Linked DNA regions of Macaca fascicularis. The protein of the gene in region 2 interacts with the protein of the main gene of each other region in a pairwise test. Links are inferred from orthologs where the notes say so. Each region holds a gene or a part of one and is shown on either strand. Other genes may lie near its edges. The genes, in order: FXN and DAPP1.

Region 1 (3,819 bases), on a different chromosome or scaffold from region 2:
TTTGGAAGGCTGAGGGGGGTGGACCATTTGAGGTCAGGAGATCAAGACCAGCCTAACCAACATGGTGAAACCCCATCTTTACTAAAATACAAAAAGTAGCCGGGCATGGTGGCAGATGCCTGTAATCCCAGCTACTCGGGAGGCTGAGGCAGGAGAATTGCCTGAACCCAGGAAGCGGAGGTCACAGTGACCCGAGATTGCGCTACTGCACTCCAGTCTGGGCGACAGAGTGAGACTCCCTCAAAAAAAAAAAAAAAAAAAAAAAAGCAAGTTCTCATACTAGCTGCACACTGGAATTATCTGTGGAGCTTAAAAATTCCAGTGCCCTGCCCAGGCCATGCCACACCCCAGTCCAAGTAATCAAAATCTCTAGGAACAAGACCTAGAGAGACACATTAGAATCCCAGGTGAGCTTTTCAAAAATATGCTTCTCAGGAATGCACCCGACCTACCCCATCACTGTCTCACAGGAGCAGGGCTCAACTCTCTGTAATCTGAATAACTTCTGGGCAGTTCTCTTACCCCTGCTGAAGAACTGTAGGTCTAGTTTGTTGTTTGCTCCATCTGCCTGCCGAACAAACACACATTCTGGCCCCTCTCTGATTTGTCTTCATGGGTATCCACTGAAGCCGGAAAATGAGGCTCAGAGAGGCTGAGTGACTTGCCCAGGGTCACAACAAGCCTGGCAGAGCTGGGCTGCAGCTTGAAGCCTAGTCTTATCTATTTATTTATTTATTTGAGACGGAGTCTCGCTTTGCAGCCCAGGCTGGAGTGCAGTGGCGTGATTTCGGCTCACTGCAACCTCCGCCTCCCGGAGCCCTAGTCTTTTAATCCCACCCACAACTCCATGCTACGTGATGCTTAGCTCTGCTGCAGGGGAATTCTTCATTTTAGTGAACTAAAATTCTTAGAGGGGGAAACAGAAAAATAAAAGAAGTCAAGAGGTACCCCAAAGGAAACATCATAGTCCTCAAAGGTGTATGGCTTGTCTGCAAGGTCTTCAAAAAACTCTGCTAAAGAGTCCAGCGTTTCCTCTGCTAGTCTTTCATAGGTGGTGTCATCTAGAGAGCTGCAGGGGAAACACAAAACCCAAAACACGATTACCAAACACTTCCATTCTACTAATACCAAATTTACACACTTGTTATTTAAGTTCATTAAACTGATGAAAATAACATGTACAAAGTAAAAGTTTGTCCTTTTTTTTTCTAGATGGAGTCTCACTCTGTCACCCAGGCTGGAGTGCAGTATCTGGTCTAAACTCCTGATATCAAGTGAGCCACATGCCTCGGCCTCTTGAAATGTTAGGATTACAGGTGTGAGGCACCATGCCTGGCCCAAAGTAAAAATTTAAACAGCACGGAAGGGGTTACAGAAAGAAGCAGGCAGCCCCCATTCCCAGAAGCAGCTACAAATAATAGTCCTTTCTGGGCCAGGTGGCAAGGTGGCTCATGCCTGTAATCCCAGCACTTTGGAAGGCCGAGGTGGGTGGCTCACCTGAGGTCAAGAGTTCGAAACTAGCCAGGTCAATATGGCGAAACCCTGTATCTATTAAAAATACAAAAATTATCATGTCCTTTGCAGGGGCATGGATGAAGCTGGAAATCATCATTCTCAGCAAACTAACACATGAACAGAAAACCAAACACCACATGTTCTCACTCATAAGTGGGAGTTGAACAATGAGAACACATGGACACAGGGAGGGGAACATCATACACTGGGGCCTGTCGGGGGGGTGGGAGGCAAGGGGAGGGAGAACATTAGGACAAATATCTAATGCATGAGAGGCTTAAAGCCTAGACGACGGGTTGATGGGTGCAGCAAACTACCATGGCACACGTTTATCTATGTAATAAACCTGCACATTCTGCACATGTATCACAGAACTTACAGTATAATAATAATAATAATAAATTAGCTGTGTGTGGTGGCGTGACCTTGTAGTTCCAGCTACTCGTGATGGTGAGGCACAAGAATTGCTTGAAACCAGGAGGCAGAAGTTGCAGTGAGCTGACATCGTGCCACTGTACTCCAGCCTGGGTGACAGAGCGAGGCTGTCTCAGAAAAAAAAAAAAAAGTCTTTTCTGTATCCTTCTATCTGCATATTCTTTTTAATATACAAATGAAGCATTTTGCATTTTTTCACTTAATTGTGTCTTAGAAATTTGCATTTTTTCACTTAATTATGTCTTAGAAATTGTTCTATATTAGCACCTATGGATTTTTATAATATTTAATTTTATGTTATTTACCCAGTCCTCTTTAGCTGGACATGAAGGATGCTTCCATTGCTTTTGTTATTAAAATTTTGCTTTTGCCCAAAATTTTGTTGGGCAAATCACAAAGTGGGAGAAAATATTCATATTACATACATCTGAAAAATGATTCATCCAGAATATATAAAGAACACCGGCTGGGCGCAGTGGCTCACGCCTGTAATCCCAGCACTTTGGATGGATGAGGTGAGTGGATCACTTGAGGTCAGGAGTTCGAGATCAGCCTGGCCAACATGGTGAAACTCCATCTCTACTAAAAATGCAAAAATTAGCCGGGCGTAGTGGCAGGTGCCTGTAATCCCAGCTACTCGGGGGCCTGAGGCAGGAGAATCACTTGAACCCGGGAGGCGGGGGTTGCAGTGAGCTGAGATCGCGCCACTGCCCCCTCTACTCTACCCTGGGTGACAGAGTGAGTGAAACTCTGTCTCAAAGAAAAAAAAAAAAAAAGAAGACCTACAAATAAATAAGAAAAAGAAAAATCAACAGAAATAAAAATGGGCAAAATACTTGAATAGATTTCATAAATAAAAGATACCCAAATGCCCAATGAACACATAAAAAGGTGTTCAACTTTGTTAATCTTCAGGAAAATGGAAATTAAAAAATCACAGTGAGATGCCACCAGAATGGTTAAAATGTAAAAGGGCGGGAACCCTCATAGCACCAGTGATGAAAGAGAGAATTTAATGCGGGTGATGTTGGGAAAGATTTTTGTTCAGAAGTATGCCCAGTGCCACACTATGGAAAAGGGGGCAAGCACAAAACTGAGCCAAATCTCCATGGTCTGTCTTTTTGGGCAGAAGACAGGTCAGGCCGTTGGATTCCCTTACACAGACGCCAATAAGAACAAAGGCATCACCTGGGGAGAGGACACACTGATGGAGTATTTGGAGAATCCCAAGAAGTACATCCCTGGAACAAAAATGATCTTTGCCAGCATTAAGAAGAAGGCAGAAAAGACAGACTTGGTAGCTTATCTCAAAAAAGCTACTAATGAATAATAATTATCCACTGTCTTATTTATTACAAAACAGAAATGTCTTATGACCCTTTTATGTGTACCATCATTTAACAGACCTCATAAACCAGAATTCAGATCATGAATGACTGACAGAATATGTTTGTTGGGCAGTCCTGATTTACCTAAGACTGGCTTGTGGTTAAATGAGTATGTTCGGTGTTTTGAATTTTAATGGTAATTCTGGGCCTGGTGTGGTGGCTCACGCCTGTAATCCCAGCACTCTGGGAGGCTGAGGCAGGCGGATCACCTGAGGTGAGGAGTTCAAGACCAGCCTGAACAATATGGTGAAACCCTGTCTCTACTAAAAATACAAAAATTAGCTGGGCTTGTAGTGCCCGCCTATAGTCTCCAGCTGCTTGGGAGGCTGAGACAGGAGAATCGCTGAAATCCTGGAGGCGGAGGTTGCAGTGAGCTGAGATTGCGCCACTGCACTCCAGCCTGGGTGACAGAGTGAGACTCCGTCTCAAAAAAAGAAAAAAAAAAAAAAAAGGTTGGGTGTGGTGGTTCATGCCTGTAATC
Region 2 (3,919 bases):
ATCAGAGCTTAGTCTTCAGCAGACTCCTCTAGACACTCGGGAATTTCTCACTGGCAACCAGCGTTACCCAGGGTCTCACAGTGGTAATAGGGAGGAACATGAAGGATAGAACCGTGTGAGGTGAACAGCAGCCTCTTGCAATCATCTAGTCCTTTAGGAACAGCTCTGCTGTGCTGCTAGTCCTCAGGCCTCTGTAACTGTGAGAACAAGTTACAGAGCACCCTGGTGAGTGCTGAGTGAGTCAGGGAGTAGAGATAAGAAGAAATAGAGAGAAAGCGAGAGGGAGAGAGAGACCTGTAGGTACACAGAAAAGGCAGGAAGCAACGTATGTCCTTGACTCATTTGATACTGCACTTTGTCCTACTTCCCAAGGATTCAGTCACCGCCATTTACCTTTAGCATTGCAGGCAGATAGAATCCCCCTCTACATATGAATCTGGGCACAAAGCCATGCAGGTGTGAGTAAGCCCATGAAGAAAGTGGCGCTCAAAGACTCCAGGAGTTCAGGCCAGGCACAGTGGCTCATGCCTGTAAGCCCAGCACTTTGGGAGGGTGAGATGGGTGGATCACCTGAGGGTGAAACCCCATCTCTACAAAAATACAAAAATTAGCTGAGCATGATGGTGGGTGCCTGTAATCCCAGCTACTTGGGAGGCTGAGACAGGAGAATCACCTGAACCCCGGGAGGCGGAGGTTGTAGTGATCTCAGATCACGCCATTGCACTCCAGACTGGGTGACAGAGCGAGACTCTGTCTCAAAAAAAAAAAAAAAAAAAAAAAAAAGAAGAAAAAAAAGACTGCAAGAGTTCTAATATGCCCCATTAGGTGGGCACCAGAATGGCCCCTTGTAACTTTTTCCTACCTTCTTCTCTCCTAATTCTTCCATGGAGGAAACAATAATTATCTCTGAATCATCCCTATTCAGAGAATCGAGGATATATTAGAAGATCTGGGTAAACAAGCACAAATATTACAAAAGTACTAAAACAGCAAACTTCAGGGTTGAACTTGTGGTTTGCTTCTGTTTTTTCTACCCACTCTAAAGGTGTTCCTGATATAGAAGCTTCCTCAGTGTTCCCTGTGTTGGTGTGTAAGACAGAAAGAAGATTGGTAAAAGAGTGCACTCATCCTCCCCTACAAACCAGAGGCTGATCGCATTAGGGAAAAGCTAGGGTTTGGCCTCACACAAGCAGTTTGCACTGTTGTCCAATCCCAGGTGGGGTGACCGCCTCTTCATTTCCTTTGATAGCAACTGCCTGTTGCGTGATGCAGTGTGGGTGTCCTCAGAGGTAACTACCTAAGTTTGCATACTTCCTCACTGACAGAACACTCCTGCCAGTGCCTCCAGGCCAGGGTGGTGGTATTGGTGGGAGGAGTAAGTAACCAAGTTTCACTTCCTTGCCTTGGAGACTCAGAGCCACAGCGGGCTGCTGTCTCACAGAGGGAGAGGGTGGCAGGAGCAGCCGAGTTGTCTCTCTCTGCCTCTGTGAAGGGCGCGAATGGGCAGAGCAGAACTTCTAGAAGGGAAGATGAGCACCCAGGATCCCTCAGATCTGTGGAGCAGATCCGATGGAGAAGCTGAGCTGCTGCAGGACTTGGGGTAAGGGAGCAGATCTCCTTTCAAAGTGCCTAGTGGGTGGACATTGACTCCGCACTCCCACCTTCATGCTTTGGTTAATGACTATCTTCAGAGCCTTGTTGCCCTCTGCCACTTCAACTGTTTATTTTTTTCCACTTTATTCATTTGTATCTGTTAAGTATCTTCCTGTTTGGGGCTAATTCCATTGCAAAAGCCTGCATTATTTTTCTAGATGTGAAAACAAGTAGGTTGAGAAAATAGAGAAAAAAATCAAATGCTGGACATTCTTTGAGAAGAGGGACAGAATTGGGATATAGAGGTGACGTTGCCTGACTTCCTTGATGTTGCTCTGGTTTGTGAATAAATGTGTTGTTCAAGAGTTTCCAGCACTGACCCAGGGACAGTAAAAGGACCATGTTGCTGGTAAGATAAACAGAAAGCCTACCCTACTGTAAGGGAGGGGGACTTTTTCAAAATATAGAGAATGAGGAAGTTTCTGCAGTAGTCTCGCTTGTATGTTTCTTTCTCCTGATACTGCATTTGGGAGTTTTATATTTTATGTATGTCCAGAGGGCCAACTTTGAGCCTTTAAATACCAACAATCCACGAAGAGGATAAAATTTCTTCTTCAAACAGGTAAGCATAGGTAGGTGGAGTCATTGGAGCTCTGTCTTTGAGAAGTGACCCAGATGACAACTCATCCGGGTATTTAATAAAAGAAGCAAGTATTACACAAGAGAGGAATTGGGGGTTTCCTAGAGAAACTGAACCTTCTGCCTAATGCACTGGGAATATCCCAATGAGGGTGGCTTTGGCACCTGTGCATGAGGAGAGGTAAAACCTGTACCTTCTGCCTGAGTAAATAGCTCTAAATCTTCATAACAATCCAATGACATGGGAGCTGTTGTCATCTTCATCTTACAAAGGATGAAAACAAGCACCAAACAGGTTTGAATAACTTGCTTGCTAGTCACACATCAATTACATAGCAAAGCTGGGCATCCAACCTGCCACGGGTTATGTCCTAAACCGAAGAAAAACCAAAATAGAATTGAAACCTCTCTGTGTTAACGCTGCAGAGATTGTATCTTTTTATGTTGTATTGCTGTAAAAGTTTATCAGTAATTCCTGTCTTTAGATTATAAAACTGAGGTCTTGGAATTGAACTCTACTTTCATTTGGCGAATCAGATAAAACAACTGGAATTTTCATTAAAGAAAACTCCCCTTATTAGGAAGCCAGAGCTCTAGAATCTCTCTATCCCTCTAGAATGAATCCCCAAACAGAAGAGGCAAAGGGCCCTTCTGTGAGCATCCAGCACAGTTTTCACCAAGTCCAAATGCTGAGGCTGAACTGTGGCCCGCAGTGCCTTATTGAACCATTAAGCTACAACGCTTTACATGTTCTGTTAACTGATTCCCAGCCCACTGTAATAGAAAACCCCGAAGGAGGAGACAGAAGAATTTATTCAATTCTGATCGTTTAGTTAAACAAACAATCCTAGAACCCAGAGTCCGTGGTTGAGTACTGTGGGAACACGCTTAGATGACAAAGATGAATTAGATGCTGTCTCTGTGCCCCACCACGATGCCAATAGCAAGAAGCAACTACAGGTGAACCCCATGGGGGAAATAGGACTGTGGACTGTGTCTTTCTTCCATGTGCAAAGAATCGACATTGAATACAAAACCGAGTCACACCACTTCCCTGCAAAAAAAGGATATATTCATGTCCAGATTTCCCTATTTCAGAAGGCCTGAACAATTATTAAACATGAGGATGATTTCTATAGCAATGGGCAACCTGCAGGCATCTGGGAAAACTGCTCTACAGTCCAGGTTCTTGACCTTGGCTGTGCTCTGGAACAACCCAATGAGCTTTTTCTTTCTTTAAAAAAAAAAAAAAAAACAAAAACAAACAAACAAACAAAAAACACTCCTGACACCCAAACCACAGACTTGACAAATGATTTCAGTATCTCTGAGGGTGGGCGTTTTCTTGTCAAACTCTCCAAGTAATTCCAAAGTGAGACCCTAGGTTGATGATCACTGCATAGAATATGTATCCACCAAATGCATTAGGTAAATGTCTTATTTTTCGTTTTAAGTCTGTTGGGTATGTACTTGAATCTTAAAAGTACTAATAAATGTTGATATTTTGTTTATTGGCTTAGGGGCGTTTCGATTAGCAACTTTATTAAGGTGTATTTTACATATCATAAAATGTACCCGTTTCAAGTGTACAATTCAAGACTTTTGACTAACTTTACAGAGTGATACAACTGTCACCATAAATCAGTTTTGGTACATTTCCGTTCTCCCAAAAAGAACTCTCAGATGT

What was found.
Region 1: the proteins of DAPP1 (region 2) and FXN interact in binary tests that used the Homo sapiens proteins (3 or more experiments, as listed by UniProt). The link is inferred for Macaca fascicularis from reciprocal best matches to the Homo sapiens genes DAPP1 and FXN.

What each region holds. Positions count from the first base shown.
Region 1 is NC_088389.1:99,778,707-99,782,525, reverse strand, and holds part of FXN (frataxin, mitochondrial), read right to left. Parts: intron 1,070-3,819; coding exon 949-1,069; intron 1-948.
Region 2 is NC_088379.1:105,455,024-105,458,942, forward strand, and holds the start of DAPP1 (dual adapter for phosphotyrosine and 3-phosphotyrosine and 3-phosphoinositide), read left to right. Parts: upstream 1-1,432; 5' UTR 1,433-1,499; coding exon 1,500-1,600; intron 1,601-3,919. UniProt on the Homo sapiens protein: May act as a B-cell-associated adapter that regulates B-cell antigen receptor (BCR)-signaling downstream of PI3K.